4 linked regions of the Drosophila melanogaster genome follow. The protein of the gene in region 1 interacts with the protein of each later gene in a pairwise test. Each region holds a gene or a part of one and is shown on either strand. Other genes may lie near its edges.

What was found.
Region 2: the proteins of mira (region 1) and pros interact in a two-hybrid assay, tested with the Drosophila melanogaster proteins (2 studies listed by BioGRID).
Region 3: the proteins of mira (region 1) and flfl interact in a two-hybrid assay, tested with the Drosophila melanogaster proteins (one study listed by BioGRID).
Region 4: the proteins of mira (region 1) and cup interact in a two-hybrid assay, tested with the Drosophila melanogaster proteins (one study listed by BioGRID).

The regions. Positions count from the first base shown.
Region 1 is NT_033777.3:19,931,290-19,937,375, reverse strand, and holds mira (miranda), read left to right. Parts: upstream 1-2,377; 5' UTR 2,378-2,702; coding exon 2,703-5,192; 3' UTR 5,193-5,342; downstream 5,343-6,086. Other genes in the region: Hs6st (heparan sulfate 6-O-sulfotransferase), read left to right, coding at 1-122.
Region 2 is NT_033777.3:11,326,140-11,331,866, forward strand, and holds the start of pros (prospero), read left to right. Parts: upstream 1-2,340; 5' UTR 2,341-3,817; intron 3,818-5,727. UniProt on the Drosophila melanogaster protein: Homeodomain protein that controls neuronal identity. As a transcriptional factor, regulates the expression of ftz, eve and en in a subset of neuroblast progeny and modulates the transcriptional activity of other homeodomain proteins such as Dfd.
Region 3 is NT_033777.3:13,681,876-13,687,204, forward strand, and holds the start of flfl (falafel), read left to right. Parts: upstream 1-2,045; 5' UTR 2,046-2,275; intron 2,276-2,549; 5' UTR 2,550-2,649; intron 2,650-5,296; exon of another isoform or gene 5,297-5,329. Other genes in the region: omd (oocyte maintenance defects), read right to left, coding at 1-256, 312-1,087, 1,152-1,258. UniProt on the Drosophila melanogaster protein: Regulatory subunit of serine/threonine-protein phosphatase 4. The probable PP4 complex Pp4-19C-PPP4R2r-flfl (PPP4C-PPP4R2-PPP4R3) is required to prevent caspase induced cell death (in vitro). May be involved in DNA damage repair.
Region 4 is NT_033779.5:6,661,621-6,667,152, reverse strand, and holds the start of cup (cup), read right to left. Parts: upstream 3,490-5,532; 5' UTR 3,004-3,489; coding exon 2,566-3,003; intron 2,223-2,565; coding exon 1,362-2,222; intron 890-1,361; exon of another isoform or gene 803-889; coding exon of another isoform or gene 145-802; intron 68-144; coding exon of another isoform or gene 1-67. Other genes in the region: Galt (Galactose-1-phosphate uridylyltransferase), read left to right, coding at 1-67, 145-802; CG13771 (uncharacterized protein), read left to right, coding at 3,576-3,717, 3,779-4,021, 4,086-5,056; Ube4A (ubiquitination factor E4A), read right to left, coding at 5,454-5,532. UniProt on the Drosophila melanogaster protein: Adapter protein that plays a central role in localization of transcripts in the oocyte and in young embryos. Maintains RNA targets in a repressed state by promoting their deadenylation and protects deadenylated mRNAs from further degradation.

The sequences.
Region 1 (6,086 bases):
AACACCACAATCTCGGCGACTGCTGTCCAGAATCTTCGACCCGACCAGAAGCGTCGCATCGAGAAGCTAAACAGTCTGGACATTGAGCTGTATGCCTTTGCCAAGACTTTGCTCTTTCAGCGGTGAGTACCACGCTCTGCCATCACGATCTCTTCCTGCTCGCGACCTATGTATTGATATTTATAACACCCTGCTTAATTGGCTTATATGCCGATAGAACATGGCTTTAGTTATGTTGCTTTCAATGTGCCCCTTGTTAGTTACAGTAGGAGCTAGTTTATCTGGTCTGCAAAAACCAGATCCAATGTCATGGGTCCGGTTTCCTGGATCCCTTTTCTTCGTAGCTTCATCGGGACGTTGCTCAAAGGTCGATGACTCAGATCCACGTCCTCGTTCTTTAGTAACGTTTTGTATCCCATGAGGGTGCGAAACCCCTTTGATCTTCAGGGGCCAAGCCAGTCTTTTGTTGCACTCACTTTGTGTTGTGATGACATTGGCTCTGGCTCAGGAGAAGTGAGAATGGATCCCATGGAAACATCATTAGATCGCGTTACCTTATAGCGCGTTCAATGAATGGTAGTTATGCATGGACAGGCATGGGAAAATGATGTTGAAGGTGTCGCGGCGTAGGGTAAATGTCATTAACATCATTAATATTACTGTGAGTCCTGCACATCATTGGATCAGCGAATAATGAAAACCCTTTTTCGTAAAATTTCCATTTTTATTATAAGAGAGTTTGGGAAAATCAAATGCAAATATGTTTATGGGAAAATATTACCTCTATGAAACCAAAGGATGGTTTCGTAACCTTATATACATACATATTATGTACATGAACTATATAAATTGACAAAGGTTGTGAAGCATAAATATAAATTAAAAAGTAATGCTTGAGTATTAATATTCTATTGATTTCCAAACGATTTCCCTTGTCCTATGGCTCCCTACATTGTCTTTCTACATTATAATTCTTTTGCACAGCTGTGTGTGGCTGACCCACCCAGAATTTCATGCTTGTCTGCTTTAACCTAGAATTATCACCTCCCAGTTGCTAGAATCTTCCGGTCATTGTTTGCCATCAAAGGAACAACCAGCTGATTTCAGTTGGCAGTTGTGACAAACTCACTGGAGAAAAGAAGTGAAAAAATGACAGGATGCACAGGCAGCTACCGCAGGATCAGCAGGATATCATGAGGGGGTTCTCTATACAGATTATAGATGGCCGATTGCCCAACTGCCTAGCGATATCACATGAAAAATCAATTTTCCCGACGCATTTCCATTTTCCATGCAATTCATTTAGCCTCAATTCCATTCAACTCATTGCGCAGGCGCAACTCGCCCATTTCCGACGCATTTTCCTTTAATTATGCGGGCATCGGATTTCGTATCAAATTAACGAATTATGCTGGCTGCCAGCTGTGTTGGAGCTAACGGATGAGGCAGTCCATCCAGCCATCAGCTCATATCCTTGTACTCGTAGTCTCGCAATTCTCGAAAGCAATCGCATTTACTTGTAGTCCTCGAAGGAAAGGAGAAGCCCAGGCAGATGTGAGTGAGTGTGTCTCTGTTCGTCGGCAACGGCACATTTCCCATATGTACTTAAGCCGGGGAATGCGGAACCCCGTCGTCCTATCTCCACCCCTACCCATCTTGCTACCCCCACTCCGGTCTCGAACCCTCCTCGTGCTGTCTTGAACTACAATTGCAACATTTGCGCGCGCTAAAATGAAAACATTTCCTTTATATACACGAGGCCGACGTCTTGACAAACACACAGATAAGACGAACAGGGGATCAAGAACTGTGGCACGAACTACCACCAAATAAAAAAAAAATTAGGAGTCGTATAACTCGGCTTACCTGAATTCTAGATACTCTTAAAAGAGGACATTATAGAAAATATATAATATTATATGTTTAATTTAAATTGAAAAGTGGTTAAGATCAGAAGAATTATGCCGTCTGCAAATGACTTGTCTAATATTAAATTAACATTAGAATGTTTAAGGAATATGAAATTTTTGTTCAGCTAATATCTAAAAAATCCAAAATTGTCGTGATATTATTTTCTATGTCCACTAATTATTATATTCAATGTTAATGTTATTAGATTAAAATGAAAGTCCTACGAAATGAAAACCATAAACCATTTTTCGTTTGAAGATCTCGGAAATACCCAACCTGAAATGTTGGGTATATCCCACATAGGTGAAGCAATGCAGGATCGTTGAAGCGACCCCTGCTCGAGCGAGGGTTGTTTTCTTTGCCTCCCCTGGGTCTATCTCGTTTCCACACTCTATCCATCCCTTTTCCACTCGCTGTGCCAGCTGGAGGCTATGTCTGCCTCAGGGATCTTGGACAGAAGGTGAGCTCAGTTAGGTTTTGACAGCGGAACGCGTAGGTACAGTGAAACGGGTAGCAACGGGATAGCGGGTTTAGTGTAGCACAGAACGGACCACAAAGTACAGATGAATTAAATACGACTACAGACTACTACCATATTGTTAAACAGTTTACCTAAAAATCCTAAGGAAAAGATAACCAAATTAAACCGAAAGTTAAAGTTGTGTTTATGTTTGATCGTTGAGTTATTGTTATATCGAAAGTTAAACGAGCGTTGTTAATGAGACATTGATACAAAATCCGAAAAGAATCGTTACCAAGTTAAACCGAAAGTCCAAAAAACAAATTCGAAAATGTCTTTCTCCAAGGCCAAGTTGAAGCGTTTCAACGACGTGGATGTGGCCATCTGCGGTTCGCCAGCTGCGTCCAACAGCTCGGCGGGATCGGCGGGCAGTGCCACGCCCACCGCGTCTTCGGCAGCCGCTGCTCCGCCAACCGTTCAACCGGAACGCAAGGAGCAGATCGAGAAGTTCTTCAAGGACGCCGTGCGTTTCGCGTCCAGCTCGAAGGAGGCCAAGGAATTTGCCATTCCCAAGGAGGACAAAAAGTCAAAGGGATTACGTCTGTTCCGTACTCCTTCGTTGCCGCAGCGCCTACGCTTCCGTCCGACTCCCAGTCACACGGATACGGCCACCGGAAGCGGAAGTGGCGCCTCAACAGCGGCATCCACTCCTCTGCATTCGGCAGCCACCACGCCCGTAAAGGAGGCCAAGTCAGCCAGCCGTCTGAAGGGCAAGGAGGCACTCCAGTACGAAATCCGTCACAAAAACGAACTGATCGAGAGCCAGTTGAGCCAACTGGACGTGCTGCGCCGCCATGTGGATCAGTTGAAGGAAGCCGAGGCCAAGTTGCGCGAGGAGCATGAGTTGGCTACCTCCAAGACAGATCGGCTCATCGAAGCCCTGACCAGTGAGAATTTATCGCACAAAGCTCTGAACGAGCAGATGGGCCAGGAGCACGCTGATCTTTTGGAGCGTTTGGCCGCCATGGAGCAGCAGTTGCAGCAACAGCACGACGAGCATGAAAGGCAAGTGGAGGCGTTGGTTGCCGAGAGCGAGGCACTGCGTCTGGCCAACGAGCTGCTGCAGACAGCGAATGAGGATCGTCAAAAGGTGGAGGAGCAGCTGCAGGCACAACTCTCTGCTCTTCAGGCGGATGTGGCTCAGGCCCGCGAGCACTGCAGCCTGGAGCAGGCAAAGACCGCCGAGAACATTGAGCTGGTAGAGAATCTCCAGAAGACCAATGCCTCCCTGCTGGCCGACGTGGTCCAGCTGAAGCAGCAGATCGAACAGGATGCCCTGTCCTACGGACAGGAGGCCAAGAGCTGCCAGGCGGAACTGGAGTGTCTGAAGGTGGAGCGCAACACCCTGAAGAATGACTTGGCCAACAAGTGCACTCTGATCCGCTCGCTGCAAGACGAGCTTCTCGACAAGAACTGCGAGATCGATGCTCACTGCGATACCATTCGCCAGCTGTGCCGGGAACAGGCTCGCCACACCGAGCAGCAGCAGGCGGTGGCCAAGGTGCAGCAGCAGGTTGAGAGCGACCTAGAGAGCGCGGTGGAGCGCGAGAAGAGCTACTGGCGCGCCGAGCTGGACAAGCGCCAGAAGCTGGCCGAGAACGAGCTGATCAAGATCGAGCTGGAGAAGCAGGACGTGATGGTGCTGCTGGAGACCACCAATGATATGCTGCGCATGCGCGACGAGAAGCTGCAGAAATGCGAAGAGCAGTTGCGCAACGGCATCGACTACTACATCCAGCTGAGCGACGCACTGCAGCAGCAGCTGGTGCAGCTGAAGCAGGACATGGCCAAGACGATCACCGAGAAGTACAACTACCAGCTGACTTTGACCAACACCCGGGCCACCGTCAACATTCTGATGGAGCGTCTAAAGAAGTCCGATGCGGATGTGGAGCAGTACCGAGCGGAGCTGGAATCGGTGCAGTTGGCCAAGGGAGCGCTGGAGCAGAGCTATCTGGTGTTGCAGGCGGACGCAGAGCAACTGCGCCAGCAATTGACCGAGAGCCAGGATGCGCTCAACGCACTGAGATCCTCCTCCCAGACGCTGCAGAGCGAGGTATCGTTGAAGGAGTCCTTGCTCCACGAGCTGCTAGCCGGCGAGGCGGAGACGTTGGCTAAATTCAATCAGATTGCAAACTCGTTCCAGGAGCGCATCGATGGCGACGCCCAGTTGGCCCACTACCACGAGCTGCGCCGCAAGGACGAGACGCGCGAGGCCTACATGGTGGACATGAAGAAGGCGCTCGATGAATTCGCCACCGTGCTGCAGTTCGCCCAATTGGAGCTGGACAACAAGGAGCAGATGCTTGTTAAGGTGCGCGAGGAGTGCGAACAGCTCAAGCTGGAGAACATTGCCCTCAAGTCCAAGCAACCGGGATCCGCCTCTCTGCTGGGAACACCTGGCAAGGCCAACCGCTCCAATACCACCGATCTGGAGAAGATCGAGGATCTGCTGTGCGACTCGGAGCTGCGATCCGACTGCGAGAAGATCACCACGTGGCTGCTCAACTCCTCGGACAAGTGCGTGCGCCAGGATACCACCAGCGAGATCAACGAGCTCCTGTCCGCCGGCAAGTCCTCGCCCCGTCCCGCCCCCCGCACACCCAAGGCGCCGCACACCCCGCGCAGTCCGCGCACCCCCCACACCCCACGAACACCACGATCGGCGGCCAGCACTCCCAAGAAGACTGTCCTGTTCGCCGGCAAGGAGAACGTGCCCAGTCCGCCACAGAAGCAGGTGCTCAAGGCGCGCAACATCTAGGCTATTCCTTTGTAACAACTACTCTATCGTACTATTATAAATTATATACCTTAGCTAAGATCCGATTCGAAATATAATCAATACACGTTGCACACAACACAGCCAGAGGTGTTTCTGAAATCTCTTTCGAGCACTCTCCGACTAAATTCCAAATCTGATTGTTTTCTATCTTTCGCGTTTGTGTTCTGGAAATATGGGACTTACCTAATCTCATAAAAAATATCATTTTGATGCAATGCATTTTAAGGCATGAGAAATCAAATAAAAAATCTGAAAAAGGTGTCTTGGAAAGTGAGACCTTCTTTAAAGCTATTTAAATTAAATAGACTCATCTTTGAATGTAACGAAAATAATGAGAATGCATCAATTATTTTTTCCATTTATTAGCCAATTTATTCATATAAGGTCAAATTATCTGTAAAAAAAAAAAAGAAATAAAAGGTATTCTGATCTAAAATGTAGAAGTGTACAGTATCATCACCTTGAACTTCGTTCTTAAAATACGTTATATCTTGTATATGCATTTAAAAAAGCCTGTACCTAAAGAATCAGGAAATTGTTTACGTTTTTCATACCAACCCCGTGCAACTCGTTTTTGATTTCGATGTGGTGGAATTTTCTCATGCTGAAACTCCTCGTTGAAGAATGAGAAGGAAGGGGTGTGGGCTGCCATGCAATCCGATGGATTCTTGCGACGCTGATTACGCACACGTGTCCCTTGGCACCGCCTTATCCCCGATGGTTACTCGATGGGAACGGTTCCAGAGTTGCGCAGTTCCTTAGTTCCTCGAGCGAATCGGAACAGCTGCGCCTGCGCTTCCTCCTCAAGGGTGGCTTAACTCAACCGTCTTTTAAGAAGGGGCCGAAAACGAAGGGAAATGCCCATGCACCACC
Region 2 (5,727 bases), 8.6 Mb from region 1:
ATCATATATATATCTGGTTATATGGATATGTTCTTTGCTGCATTAAAAGCGTAATTTTAAGTAGCAAGCCAAGCGAGCAATGCCTTAAGGGAATGCATATAATTTGATGTAACTTGCATATGTAGATCAGTTATTTAAATCGGTTGAAATCGAAATGCCCTAGGAATTCCAGGTCTATTCGACTTTTAATATGATTTCTGCGCATAGTCATCAGCTGCCTGCTGCGGTCCGCGAGCTCATTAATTAATGATGACAGGATGGACAGGACTGATGGCTCGTTGGGCAGGGAGTTGGAAACCGCAGCTGGTGGCAGTGGGCCTACTGCACGCCACCACCTTTGTATTTGTGCATAACAACTTATGAATCCATAAGCTATCTGGCAATCTCTTTATGAGCAGCATTCCCAATTTCTCTCTGATATCCTGCGAAGGCCAACCAAACCATACCGAACCATAGCAAACCAAACCAAAACCATATCGAGCCCGAAGCAAAAGCAGAACGGGCACAGTGGCAAAGTCAATAGCCAATGCCATCGATAAAGCCATAAACTTCATGTACTGGGTGGAGATTGTGGGTGCTGCTGTTCCTATCCGGCCTAAACTGCGCCATCCCAGACCTGTGCCCGCGTTCTATCCATTTCCGGGAATACGCGGCGTATGAGTAACGAGCGCGATGCGTAGGATTAAATGCAGGCGCTGCCTAGTTCCGATCTGTGCCTCCTCGTCTATATATCACTGATATACATATATATAATATATATATACATATATATATGTACATATATATGGACACATATATCTCTGAGCACGTACATAGAGAATTGCAGTGGCTGTCGCTGCACTCGCCCACCAATTTTTCTCCGCTTTTTTGATGCGCTTTCCCAGAACCCCCATGTGCATGAGTTAGTAGGAATTTATGCTGGCTCTATTATTGTTGCTCTTGTTGTCGCGGATCCTTTTTGGCGGGGTATGAGTGCGGACGACGCTCTACATTTTTTTCAGCTGCAGTTTTCTTTGCTGGATATTTTAATGCCAACTCTGACGATATACCAATACCAGTGCCAATAACCAACACCCATAAATGGCGGCAAAATAAAATAGGAAAAAAATGTGTGTTGCATTCGCGCAGGGGCAACATAGAAAACTTTTACGTTTCGCTTAGGGTTTTGCTTTATTTTTTGCTTTCAGGTTTCCCTCTTCTTTTTTTGCGATTTTCATTTTGTTGCTTTGGCATTGCAAATGAAAACGAAAAAATTGCATTTTCCCCGCATATGGATGTGTGTGAGAAGCACGAAATCAAAACAAAACATGGCCACATGGCGGGTCCTGTCGGCTGGTGGGTGTGCGGATGGGATGTATGGATGCATGGACGGATGGGGCACATGAACAGTGCACAGCCAGGAGCAACAGCTCCCACAGCTGCCACACTACCTCCCTGCAGATGTATCTGTATCTGCGAAATGGTATGGTCCATCTGGCGGGAAAAGGGGCTGGGTTTTAGGTACACTTAGGCTCGATAGCTGCAGTTTTTCGCCACCCAGTCAGCGAAACAGACCACCACGCAGTTGCCCAGTCCAAAAACCACCTCATCAGTCGTTTGGGGGTTTGGGTGTTCCATACTTTTTGGCGTTGTTTGATTTTTAGGCGCAGCAAAATGCGTTTTGCTCTTGATTGAAAGTGTGAAGAGTGTGGGGCAGCATGCCAGCGTGTGTGTGTGCGATATGTGCATTGTCCGTGTCCTTCTCGCAGTGTGCATGTATTGGCGAGGACGCCGCTGCCGCTGTCGTCGCGCTTTGTTTTGATTTTTCGCGACTGAGCGCGCGTTGCTGTCTGTTTCTCTCTGTGTTTTTGGATTTGTCCAGCAATGCATATGTGCGCCCACTGTTCTAGTGGGTGTGTGTGTGTGTTTGTGGTTGTGTGCGAGGTTTGCATGTATATGTACACTAGCAGCTAGGAGCGGCGCTGACGTCGCAGTCGCAGCAATTTTTTGCGCCAAAGCCAAACCAAAAAGGACGAGGACAATTCGGTTGGCGCTGCAGCTGCGACGTAGCCGCGGAATTTTTTTGCGCGTTTCGCGCCCGGCCAGCGGCCACTTTCATCCGTATCCACGTATCCAAGTATCCACATCCGCATCATCCTACTCCATCAGCGTTAGCATCAGCGGCCGAGGGGCTGGCGTCCCTCATAATCAACGCGCTGCAGCGACGACGCCATCGACATCGACAGCGGCTCTGGCTTTGGCTTTGGCTCTGTGACTCTGGGGCCCGTCATCGTTAGCAATTTTTGCCAGGACATTGCAACAGAAAACTGCTAAACGCGAAACAAGTTGCGGCGCTTTTTTCTGCTCCTCGGGTTCTCGCTGTCTCCCTGTCCTGGCCTGTCCTGAATCGAACTGAGCCGTGCTGCCAGGATCAGGCAGCAGCAGGCAGCAGACAGCAGGCAAGGCACATCAGTAGGCAGTGCAAGGCAGGCAGGCAGGCAGTCGGCAGGCAGGTCGCCACTTCTCGCAGACTTCTTCGCATCTGCATAAATCAAACCCAGAGGCAGTAGCAGAAGCAGTTAGCCACCCCAAGAAAAAACTCTACAACAGAAAAATACCGAAAAACAAAAGAAAAACAAACAAACAAATAGAAATAGAAAAGAGAGACATCGAAGCAGAGAAACGATAGGAGAACGAAAAAAAGTGCCAAGTGAATGTGAAAGTGAAAGTGTGTGCAAAATGACTTGAAGTGCAAGACTAGACACCTATGTACGTACCACCTACACCACCCAGCCTGGAACACACTACGTATACGCAATGCGGCCCAGGCGCTCATACGCCCCGTTGGCCCGCCAGCCCTTCGAACTAAGACTCGGGCTGGGGCTCGAACAGCCATCGCTCGCCATGCCGTCTTGAGTGCAAAAAATTACCCGCCAAAAACCCAAAAACACACACGGCCGGCTTGCGCCAAAGACAATGTAAGCGCCGGCACTAGAATGTAGAGCAGTTTTTTCTTCATTTCCCAAAACTAACTAACAAAACCAGCCAGCCAACAACAAATAACAAAATAGACAAAGTTACATTTTTACCAATATCGATAATATTAATCACTTGATAATCAGCGCCAGTCAAACGCAACATTTCGTTCGTAAACAACAACTACAACTAGCCACAACAAAGCAAGTCAAAGCCAAGAAGCAACCAAATAAGCAGGCAATACCAGTCAGTCCGTAACGTCAGCAGCAGAAACCAACGAAAAACCAAAATAATAAAGTAAAACGATTGAGTAACTCCAGTTTCAGTACCGCACCGATTCCGATTTGAGCAAAAATTCAAGCGTCTGAATTTGATTTCGATATCGTCTGGCCCGTTCCGTCTTCAAGTCTCGGCCAAAGGTTCGTCATCGTCCCGACACACTCTCAGTTTCTACAAATTCAGACGTAGATCCTTAGTTAATTCACCTTTTGTATTGTGCATTTCGGCAAGCAAATATTTTGGAAAGGATCCCCAGAGAACAAAAAAAAAAAAAGGCGAAGAAGAGCAGAAGTCAACACTCGAAATCGAAAACTACGAAATTACCTGAAAATTTTTAAACAACCAAAAAGTCTATGAATGCAACAAAAATTACACGCTAAATTTTACAAGTGCAAAATTTTCTTATAATAATTTATCAAAAAAATAAAAATAAATTTACAAAAAAAAAAAAAATTAAAAAAGAAGCATAAAAAAACGGAACTTAGTGAGAAAATTAATCAAAGTTTAGAGAGAACATTAAATGCAAACGGAATATCAAAAATTGTTGTGATGTGATATTTTTTCGATGTACTTTTATTTGAGGGTAAGTAAAGATCACTATCAAAAATTCATTTTTCAACCATTACTCCATTCTTTTCATCAATCATTGACTCATTGGGGTTTATTTATCTTTTCAGAATTATAGAATTTAGATAGAGAAATAAGGGAAATAAATACATTCGAAGCGTATATTTTAAGATCTAGGTAATTTAAAGATGTTCTGATTAAGAAAAGTATCTATTATGGGATGCTTGATCATAAGAAAATGATTAACAGTGAGCATTTAACTACTGATCATTTTTGGAAGAGAACGAGAAGAGAACGACATTTAAGACAAATAGTAAATGGATAATATGAGTGTGAAACATTGAGCAGTATTGATTTTCATTAGAAAAATTAGGAAAAGGTTCATTCTTTAATTATAATGTTATCATCTAAGTTAAAATCAATTCAAAGATATACTCTTTTTAAGGCACAAAATCTATTTCACCAACGAAAGAAAGCAGGGCAGTCAAATTTTAGTAACTTAGCTAAACAGCATGTTTATTTCAAAGCGCCAAAATAATAACCATATTAATTGCTACAAGTAAATATTTAAGAGGAAATGTCTCCTTTGGAGTTCCTTAGTTCAGTGGGTCTGAAGATCGCAGAAGTCTTTCTCCGCGATTGAGCTCGGCACTTCCTCCCAAAGTTCTTCGTGTCCTGTCGTCGGGTGACGGCGTTCAGCTGCAGCAGCAACATGCAACAGCATCGTGTTGCTGGTGTGCACGCGGCTCTCCCCAGCAGCAGCAGGTTTAGTTGTAGTTGTAGACTTTTTGCTTTTCTACATCCTCACACACATACAGGCACACAAACGCACACAGCAACAAACACGAGTGCAAGACGCGAAGTTTTGGAGGCATGCACATAATGTAAACAAGGACATGCGCAATGCACCGCGCTGGCTTTCCCCGCTTCCACAACAGGAGAAGTGCATTGCAGGCAATGCAATTGCCAACTAGAAGATAGCAGCAGCCAAAGGGGCAGTGGGTGGCTGGGCAGGATTTTGGTCGCTTTTGGGGGGGGGGGGGGTGTGGTATTGGCGATGGGGTGTTGCTGGGTGGCTGCTTCATTTACCAACGGCTGCACTAGTAAATAGCAGATGGCAGCGAAGTCGGCGTCGGCATCGCTGTCGACGCCAACTTGCCACAGTTTAGATGGGAAAAAAGGAAAACTCCAAAGAGCCAGAGAGAAAGACAGAGTGAGGGAGAGAGAGCGAGCGAGAGTGGGTGAGAAAGAGAGAGCGAGGGCTGCGCAACGAGAGTGGCGAGTGCAGCCGAAAGGATGCAATGCTGCAAGGCAATTGCACTCCAGGACTCTCACACACACACTTACGCACACAAACGCATCCGCAAGCAGCTAGACTGAGGCGGTTGCTTCTTTTTTGGTTGTGTTGTCTCTTTTCGGCTTATTTTTAGAAGTCCTTTGCCCCCTCGCCGGCGCACATCCCACCCCAGCCCCCTTGGCTGCATTTTATTTACTTGACCAGGCCTCGGAAATTTACATGGCCAGCCGTGGGAGGGGGTTGCAGTATCCACAGCAGTAGCAGCAGCTGTTCCTGGAGCCCCAGCACGTGCAGCAAGCAACTGCCCTTCAGCCGCCCAGCCGCCCAGCCACCCAGCCACCCAGCTGCCTGCGTGATTTGTGCGTTGCCAGGATGCTGATGCTGATGATGATGGCGATGGCGATGATGAGGCATCTCGTAATGATCTGGGGCCGGGAAAAAAGGGAGCAGGAGGCGGTGGTGCAGCTGCATTTCCTTGCCAGCAACGCCGTGCGTGGTTGGTCGGCTCGAAAAAGGGTCGGCGGCACTGATGGGGGTTGGGCTGTGATGGGCTGGCTGGATGGATCGAAGTGTGGGCGCGTAGACATTGCGTAGAGTTGGAGCCAATTTTTTTCTATTTCTTGATGGGC
Region 3 (5,329 bases), 6.2 Mb from region 1:
TAGGCCAGATCGGCCAGCAACGGGAAGTTCCGCTGGTTGAGCACCCACTGTTCCAGCTCCTGCATCGAATTGTCCAGGAAATCCTGACACCAAACATACTTCTCGGCCATTTTGGCTGCCGTAAGGAGCAACGTCGCTCCACGCTCGTTCAGGCGCAGCACGGCATTATTCAGCGTGGGCTGCATACCGGCAAACATTTTGTTGCTCAGCCACAACGGCGCCTTCTGCACTATCACCTCGCACATGTCCTCGGTATCTACATGACATTGTGTTAGAGAAATAATATATCTCTTTATTCAACCAGTACTTACAGATTTCGACTAGCACATTGACCAAGCTCTGCAGGATCGTGTCCGAGTAGTTGGTGGTGATCAGCAGGAAAGGAACAACGGCCACGTCCAGCGGCTTCTTCGGTGCGAATCCCTCCCTAAGCATCTCACGAAAGGCTGCCCTAAGGTGCTGTTCGTGGCACGAGGTCATATAATCGAGGATGCCCGCCTCCGAATCCAGGTGGCAGCGGTAGTCATCGACGAATCGCTTGATGCCGCACTGTAGAATCTGCATGATGATCTTGTAAGGGAAACAGCCGCCCAATCTCGCCACAATCCAGTCGAAGGTCATGGGAAACCGGTGAAAGGCATTGAGCATGATCTCCACGCAGGCCTCCTCCTCCGGTTGGGTTAACTTTCGGAAACAACTATTTATAAGGGTCATCAGCCCGTGCATGGCGCTGCACTCCAGCCAATAGTTGCAGCTGGCCGTGATGGTCATCCGCCGCTGGGTGTACTTATCGGACAGCTTGGCCACTAGTTCCAGACTCCAGTTGGCGATGAGCGGCGACCAGGCGGGCGGTCCCTTCCACACCAGACTCTGCAGCGCGGTCTTTACCAGATTGAAAGCCTCGTATTCCGGAGCACGTTGCTGCTGCTGGCGATTCCCGGCCAGCTTCACCTGGGATACCGGCATACCGGTCTTTGGGTCGGCCATCTCCGGCGACACATACAGCTGCACACTGATTTCGGCCAGCAGGGCGAAGTATTCGAACACAATGTCTCGCGTGGCGGGCAGCTCCTCCAGGAATCCCAGTCTGCAAATATCCATGGAATTATTTACTACGGGCATCATTATTAACCACCGCGGTTGCTACTCACGCGAGCTTGATGAGATTGGGGCTGGTCAGCAGCTGCGGACAACTGTGCCCATTGCTCACCGTCTCTATGAAGTGCTTAAGCTGATCCAACAGGTTCTGGCGCAGCATTTTGTCGTCCTAGGCATCGGGAACGCAGCACCGAAGTTGGCCAAGTGAGCAAATGCATCGCAGCAGCGGGTCGCTGCGTCTTTCACTCGGAATACCAAAACGACGGGGCACAACTGCAGGCATTTGGAATCCGCCGCCACCTGGCCACACTAAGGCGGCAGAAAATTCGAAATTCTTTAATATCTGAAAATCATAAAATTAACAGAATAATAAATATCTTAGCACTCTAACGTGTCATTACATTCATTATAAACTAGCACCTGAGATTAGTTTAAGATGACACTTTACATTCAAGTTAAATTAAGCTGGAAAAGATTTCTAATCGGAATTATGTGTTTACTACAATGCTAACTTTCGAATCGAGGATGTAATTACTGAGTAATCAAACTGTTTGCTCTTTTTAATACTAAGTAAACGTACTTATAGCTCTATTTTCTAATTTTATAATATTTAACGTGTTTTTGTTTTAAAATATTATCGTAACAGTAGGGAGTGCGAAAAACGGTAACACCAAAACCCAGTTCGTGCATTATTGCACACTCTTTTGGGGCGAATCAAGAGCGAAAGACAACATGGCGTCGAAGCGGCGAATCTGTCTCGCAGTTTGTCGTGCTGTTTGCTTTTTTCTGCTCTGATTTGTACAAATATTCATTCAAGGTGCTCCAGTTTTGCCAAGTATATGTTAATAGAGTACCATAACAATGGTGGCGTCACAGGGGTGCTAGAGTTCGATATCGATAACAGCTCACATTCTCGTCATATGCAACTATCGCTGTACTCTCTGGCCGAGTATCGATACGCAGATATTATCGTCGTGGTCAGACCAACGCTCTAGCGTCGGTCCGCGGAAAATAGCGAAAATTACAATTATCCGGGAAGATATATTGGTCGAAAACTAACTCGTGATCCCCCAATAAATATGCGCAAGAGAAAATTGTATATAAACTGATCGAATGCAGCCAGCGTGCTAAGCACTAAAAGCGAAAAACGCCAGAAACAGAAACAAGGAATTGCAGCGTGAGTGTATAACTTTTTGGTTTTTGCCCCCGCGCTCTTTCTCTCTCTTTGCTGCTCTCTCTCTCCCGCTCTCTTTTGCCCTCTTGCGGCTTCTGTGTTGTCTGCGTGCTAGTGTGTGTGTGTTTGAATTTTACTGTGAATGTGACCGACGGTGTGTTCTCACGTACTCCGTGGATGATTTGCGGCCTTGCCAGGGAATCGGACTATATATCCCGGCAATAGCCCATATTGGATCCCGATTTTGAATACAACTCGGCTGATTTGCTTCTTTCAGTGTCTCCCCTTTTATCGCACTTTATGCAACAACGCATACCGTCGTGTTGAATTTCCTCGCTCTCCGCTGTGTGTGGTTTGTAGGTGTGCGTGTGTTCGAGGTGAGTTAGCCGTCGTCTGTTTTTCTTTTCCCTGCGTTTTGTGTGCGTTTCAATGAAATGCAAAATCGCCAGCGAATATCGCGGAAATGCGCTGCTCCTAAATATTATGTATACATAAATAAAGTATCGAATCAAAACAAAATCGGCTTGCAACAACAACAAAAACATTGCAGAGTGTGGGTGGCGCGTGTAGCGATCAAAATTGCGTGCATGTGTAATGTGTGTGGTGGAGAGACGGCATTTTTCTTTACCACACGCCTCTTCTTCTTTCCCACAATACACTGCAATTTTTGCGATTCTGTTTTGCGCCTGCCATTCGCAATAATTTTATTGAATGAACCGCAAAAGAGACGGCCCAAAAAGCGATGTACTTGCCAGACGTTGTGTCTGTGTGCGTCCAAGTGTCTGTAGCGCGTTGTGTGTGTATCGCGTATGAAAATACATCAACTGTTGGGCATCAACAAAAAAACGGAATCAAAAATTTATAATAAAAAATGAAAGGAAATTAGCTGACTTTGTAATCGCAATCGGAGAGTGTTTACTTGCTAAATTTTCGAGTTCTCCGCCCGTCTCTTTCCCTTCATCCCTCCTGCCTTCACCGCCAATACCACCCCAAAAAATTGCATACATGCACACACGCCTTCGGTTGTGCGAGTGGTTTAGTGTGTGAGCGCGCGCGTATTCTGCACACATTGTCATGCATGCAAAAAACAAGATACGACGCGTTCGCAATCGTTAGATTCCGTCTCCCCCAATTCATGGCGTTTCATTGCTGGGGGCGAAAGTAAGAAGATAACGAAAGGGATATGCGAACCACTTCCTAATGAAGTCCTGCATCCTTAGCTTTTGGATTCCCACCTCTTCGCCTTCTCCTTCTTCACACGGACACTTGCAGCGTTCGCGCCCATGCGTGTGTATGTGTGCGAAGAACAGGAAGAGAGCAGCGAGACTCCAATTATCCATTTACAGTTGCGGTTGAAATGATGGAGCATAGTTGTATTATTTGTATTCACACAATTACCGGTGGTATTTAAAGTCTTAACAATATTTATTAATTTCCTGCTACCTTCCTAAATTTTATTCATAGTTTTAATACTGTACCCAAGTACCTTAAGTTCCCTAATCAGATGTAAACTTGTTGATAGGCATAATTCCTATCTTAGTTTGTATTTTTGTCTACTATAACCTAAACTTAATTCTACTACGAATTTAATTACAACATACTAAGACTGTAATCTACAAACCAAACGAAAATGCCTTGAATAAAAGAGGTCTAGTGATTCATAATACGATTTGCACACGTGTTATTAACTAGGTAGTAGCGAAATAGAGTCAAAAAGGCCACCGACTTGTTCACAACTGTATCTCTTACTAACTTCCCTATAAAAACTAATTGTTGCTGGGGCGAAAAAATACTGCCAAGTTGTCATATTTGCCGGACTTTATTGATGACTCGACTCCAGAGCTCTATATTTCGCACACAGATTTTCTCTCGGCACTTTTCGCAACCTTCTGCGGCCGCTGGTTATTAATAAAAATTAATAATAAACGAAATCTGTGGCGCTGTGCGGCACTTGGACACACTTATGTACACATGAGCATTCTCGTGTTTTTCGCAGCTGATTGCGTAAACGAAACCGCTCGCTACGTTTGTTTTGAATTGCTACTTTTGTTTTGGTACCGATTCAGACTTGGAATCCGATTCAGTTACAGATTGAGATTGAGATTGAGATACTCAGGCTCTCCGCCTGGGCTTCAATTCTCCTGCGGGCGTTATCAGTGGCCTATGGCGCTTTATTGGAATTACCATGGAAGTGGGAACTTAATCGCTGTGCAAATCGCTTCGAAACAGCGCAGCACGCATTTTCCCCGACGTCTTGCAACCTTGGGCGAGTGGCACTGCGGGCGGTGGGTGGTGAGCGGTTGGGTGATCTAGAGTGACGTAAATATTTGTGGTGGACAGTCAACATTGAGGTGGCGCTCTTCAACGATGACGTAGCTTTTGCCACTTCTGTTTACTCGCACATTATTTCACACACTTCTCCATTGATTTTCGCCGTGCAGATAACGAAATAGTGGACTGATTGTTAACTGTGTATAAATGAAAATATGGGTATGATATGTGTTTATTTACACTTTTTTTCTGTGTACGAGAATGGTTAGATTACTCCCCTTCCTCGTTTTGAGTCACCCGCTCTCTGGCCCTCGCCGCTGTTTGTTTTCTTCGCGCGCGTGTTTGCTCTCGCCGTGGGGCGAAAGCGCAGCGATAATAGTGGCTCAGATATAGTGTATACTATATGTATAGTAAACCTACTCATACCGAAAACCCCATCGCACAGATACGGATACATTTACAGATACACGCGCGCACTGCGGAAGGCCTAGATCTAATGGAAAACGCTAAATGTTTGTAAACAGACCGGGCACATTTCTTTTCTTTTCTTAATTATTTTTTGCATTTCGCATTTTAGTTGGCATGGTCTTCTCACGGCTTCTCTCTCTTCACACATCTTTCTTCCGAAAATACACTCACACACACGCACACCGAACGTAGCTTTCACATTTTCATTCATCGCAATCTTCGCCATGAAGTGTTGCAAAGGCCCCAAGATAAGATATAGGATGCACTTGGATACCTTAACCTCACCTTTTTGCGACAATAGCACACGAATAATCCAAT
Region 4 (5,532 bases), on another chromosome or scaffold:
TCCATCCCAAATCGAATCTGACTTTGCCCACGATGAGTGCAGCGGAAATCGTCGTTGTTATCGACGAGTAAGTGGAGGATTTATGGTTTATATCAGAAGATACTCAAAATAATAAACCCACTTTTTATCTAACTGCCTATCTAGGTGGATCAGCCAGTTCAACGAGCTTAGCGCCAAGTACGCGTGGGTGCAGATATTCGAGAACAAGGGAGCCGCCATGGGGTGTTCCAATCCCCATCCGCACTGCCAGATCTGGTCATGCTCGTTTCTGCCGACGGAACCGCAACTGAAGCAGGAGCGTCTGCGTGCCTACTACGCCACCAACGAGCGGCCCATGCTGGCCGACTATGTGGAGCGTGAGCTGCAGCGCCAGGAGCGGATTGTCATTGAGAATCGCGACTGGTTGGTGGTGGTGCCCTTCTGGGCCACTTGGCCCTTCGAAACCATGCTCATCTCACGCAACAACAATAAGCGGATCAATGATCTTACCGCAGAACAGCGATACAACTTGGCGCTGACCATAAAGGAGCTGACCACCAAGTATGACAATCTGTTCCAGTGTTCATTCCCCTACTCGATGGGTTGGCATGGAGCACCGACTGGGCCGGAGCATGCCCACGCATCCAGTGCTCATTGGACCCTGCACGCCATCTACTATCCGCCGCTGCTTCGTTCTGCCTCCGTGCGCAAGTTCATGGTGGGATTTGAGCTGCTGGCCATGGCCCAGCGGGATCTGACTCCCGAACAGGCAGCCCAAAGGTTGCGGGAGGTCGATGGAAAGTGTCATTATCTAGAGAAGTGATTTCGCTCGAGGGTATTTGTAGAATCCCAGATGGTTTAGAATTCAATAAAAGGAAATAGTCTAATACGACTGTAGTAATTACTTCATACTTATTCGCAATCAGTTGTAAAATGTTCTAGATTAGTGATTTGACTGTGGCGAGGGTCCAGCCAATGATCAGCATGATTGCCAAAGACCTCTGGAGGTCATGCAATGCAATCATTGATTTATCAGATAAGCTCAGGAATAATGCGACTTTGTGTTACCTAATGCAAAAGTGGGGAAAATGTTCTTAATCGATTAAGCGATTTTTTCTAAGCAGAAAAGGCGGGAAATATGATTTTTCATAAAAGAGCTTTTCTGAGCAGACCAAAAAGACAATTTGGCCTACAAAGGAAGGGGTATCAGATGGTCGAGGTACTCAAATGAATCGACGCCATGTGTAACTGTAACAATTACCGCACTGTCACAATCACTTTTTCCTTTTCAAATCATAAGTTTTCCATTAAGCTAACCAAGTCTATTTTATATAGAATATATGGCAAAATTGAGTAGAATAGTATAAGTTTAACTAGCTTACTTGGAACTCCGTTTGCGGCTGGGGCGGTTGGCTCTGGATGATGGACTCGTCACTGATTAGGTTCGGCTTATTTTTGTTTTTGAAGAAGGCAGGCATGCACTCATTGTTGTTGTTGTTGTTCATGTTTAAGTTAGCTGTGGTGGAGCGGGTCCGGAATCTTGTGCCGTCCGAGGTGCGCCAAATATTCATGCGGCGAAGCCTTCCCTCCAACTCAATGTCGTCGCAGGTGGCGATGCGAGGCATCACAAAGCTCTCCTTGGACCTGTGCATCAGGGCATTGAACATCCCGTTGCGAATGTCCATCAGGCGGGAGCGGGTATAGCTCTTGACCGGCTTGCTGCTGACCACCGGAGCAGTAGTAGGACGAACAGCCTTGGGTGCTCGCAGACTTCCTGGCTTGTGAATGCCTGTGCTGGGTGGACGCTTTTGCTGCACCTGACTAGACTGCTGCTCCGGCACGGCCTCCTTGCTGGCCACTTGCTTCCGCGGCGAATCGTGCTCCAGGTCACAACTAACGGCCGTGCAGGACAACATGCTGGAGGGCTGTGTGTACGGTGTGGATGCTCGGGCCGAGAGAACTTGCAGGGTCAGACCCTCGTCCTCGTGCAGATGCTTCGAGGGTCCATGCATCGGAATGGCCTCCCCCGAAATGGATTCGAGGATTTGATTCTGTTTGGCCAGTAAATTGATGATCTTACAACGCCTCTCCATCTCCACAATAACGGCGGGCTTTTTGGTCTGCAGCATAACAGCCGTGGATGTGGATGCCAACATGGATCCATCGCCGATCGTTTCTGGGTTTGAGCGCCTGGGTAACATCTCCAGGGCCACCACATTCTTGTTTTTGATGGAACGAGAAGACTGTTTGCCAAAATAAAAACAACATTGAAAAAACTTCATGATATATGAGAGTGCCTGTCTGTACTCGATGTAAAATAAGTGTCGAATATATGAATGCCAAGTCAAAGTTTCTTTAACTAAATTTTTAACGACATTTGTATCAGAGCTGCTCTGATTCCTAATACCATTTACGTGTTTAATACTGTGCTTTGTTGGCCAATAAATATTGCGAAGATTTTAGACTAATATCAAGTTTGACTCAAGAAAAGTTAAATTTAAAATGTATTTCAATATAAATATATAATCTGACAACAGTGTGCACTGCTAATAATAAAATTAAAAATGTTATATGTAATGAACTCACCTCAGGGCTGGCCTTTAGCGTCCGCTTGTTGGCCTCCAACTTGGTGATGGCCTTCTCCAGTGCGTCCTTCAGCTTGAAGGCGGGCAGCTTGAGGTAGCCCAGTCCGGTGGCCAGGAAAGCGCTAGTCGGCAGCGGAGGAGGCGGGGGCGGAGCGCACGGATCCTCCCACTTCTCGGAGTTGGCCTCGTCGTCGTCATGCTCTTGACTGGCATTCAGAGCGGTGGCCTTGGTGGCTAGCGGAGCCTGGACTGGAGTTGGTGGCGGTGGAGGGGGCGGGTACTCGAACTTGCCCTTCTCAGCGGGGGTCAGCACCTCATCCTGCTGATCTTCGACTGGCAGCGGAAGCTGCTGATGCGCTGGACGATCGGTTGCACCCGCATTGGTGGCAATTTTCAGGGCGCCAGCGCCATTTTCTTGCTCAGCTTCGGCCATTTGCATAGCATGGCCATTCAATTCGATCGCCTCCTCTTTCATAGGGTCCATACTCACTAATTGTTGGTTTTTTTTTTGGTTAAAACTTAAAACGAGTACTTTTGATCGGGTCAAATATATTGAAATGTATGAGAAATTGAACGAAATCACGTTTAGCACAGGTTCGTTCGATCTTAGGATCCGTTATTCGGCGCTGCTACGATGAGTAAGCAGGACAGGAATAGGAAAAAATACCGAAAGCGAATGGTGGAAGATGGAGGATGGATTGACCAGTGTTGACAAACACTGATCTGCGACTTATACAGCTTTCAAATAGTTAATTCTTTGATTCCTAAACAAAACAGCGAATTTATTAATAATGCGCTACGACATTTACTTTTGACAACAGAAAGTAGCTAAGCCTGGAACGTGATAACTTTGGAAACTAGTACTTGTGATTCTTAAGATTTCGATTACATAAAAGCCGTTATTCTGTTACAAATTTAAAAAATTAAGTGCAAACGATTTTAACGTACTGTATCTTATTATTTGACAACTATACATATGAATATAGCGGAGCACACAAACCCAAAATTTAAATGAATTTGAGCCAGCACTTTGGCAGAAGGGTGATCGCCGTGCGACACCCGTGGCACCAACTGGGTGCAATTCGTCACTCGTTCATGGAATCCGGGAGGGAGCTGCTGGATTCGGGGCACCGCTCGGGCACGATGGCAGATGGTAACCGCGGGTAAACCTCCACATTATCGTCCACTTATCCAACTCCCAATACCAAGCACAGTGGCGAAGAAAATCCGTGAGCACGTCGGCGTGGAAGGAGGCTACCACATCATTCCCAAGAGCCGGGATGGACTGCTCAAGTTTCAGCCGAAGCAAGACGAACTGCCCAATCGCTCCATGCTGGACTCACAAACGACTGCCCAGGTGCTCCTGGAAACAGATGCTCTGTTGAGGCAACGATTCGTTTACGGGCGAGGCTTGCTTCGCATGGGCAGGATAATTGAGGAACTTGACCTTCTTGCAGGTAAGTAAGTAAAGTATACTAACTAACTACTCCAAATACCTGATTAATGAGAGTGGCCTTGCAGTGTGGATCTGCCATCTTCACATCCATCTGCCCAATCTGCCGGAGGGTGTGCCGCTGCCATACACTTTTATCACCATGCTGGTGGACCACGCCCACTTCTTGCAAGACAAGTTTATTGCGGATGCAGATGTGTCCCTCTCCGGTCACGTTTCATATACGGACAATAACTTCATGGAGGTCACGGCATATGTGCGACAAAGCGGAATGTTGCTGGCAAAGGGCATTTTTGTGGTAGAGGCTCGCGATGCCATCAATAATGGCCCTGCTCCTGTCAATCCTCTGGTGCCGGCCAATGAGCTGGAAGAAAGTTTACACCAGGAAGCGCAGAAGCGGCACCAGGAGCGTGCCAAAGCGTTGTATCGCCTGGAGTCGCAGCAGCCCACCAAGGAGGAACAGCAGCTCATGTACGAGCTATTTACCCGAACCAAGGGCGATGACGGACCTTCGCCGAGTGATATGACTACTCTACCACCGAATTCCCGCTGGATGTCCACGTGGCGCCGCAGAACCCTGATGCATCCGTTCCCGGAGAACCGAAACGAATCGAACACCATTTTCGGAGGGTTCATCATCCGCAAGGCTATCGAGATTAGCTACATGACAGCCTCCCTCTACTCCAACCAGCGTTGCATGATCCGCTTCATTGCGGACGTTACGTTCGCCCATTCCATTCCCGTCCATAGCTATATAAAACTGAAGGCGTACGTGGTTTTCACCCACGAAAACTACATTCAGCTGCTGACGGTGGTGAATGCAATCGATGGCAATAGCTTTACGGAGCTTAAGTGCAATGTGCTGCACCTGACCTACTCCTGCAGCAAAGCAGTTCCGGAGATCCTTCCCAGAAGCTATCACGAGGCGCTGTGGTACCTAACTGGTCGTCGCTACTTCAATCGATTCCGTGAATCAGTAAGTCACGACATGGACAATGGATCTGCCGTAGAAACCAATGGAGCGAAAAAAGACAATTAGAGATTGGATTTAATAAAACATATGCTGTCGATTTGCATTATAGATATTTTCATTTGATGAATTAATTGAATATACACATTTTTTCAGCGAAACGCCGTTTATTTAAACATATATGTAAACATATTGTGAACACAAAACCAAATATGACTACAATAATTTATCCTTTGCATGTTATTCGTACACATTGTTTGTTAATTAATTCGGTTGACAGGAAAAAATGGATTAAGAATACATTTTAAAAACCACTAATTATAAAACTGCACATACACATACCACCATGTATGACTGGAATTCTTATGAACAAAAAAACATTGATTATTGCCCTAACAACCGAATCCCCGTGGAGCTAACTCTTTGGTTGGGCAACTGAGCCAGCAGCTGCGGGTTCGCTGCTACCTCAACTGTTCGAGCGGGCCGCCTCCCGCTTGCCCTGAATCCAGCTCTCAATTTCCTGCTTCAGAGCCTCGTTGGACTTG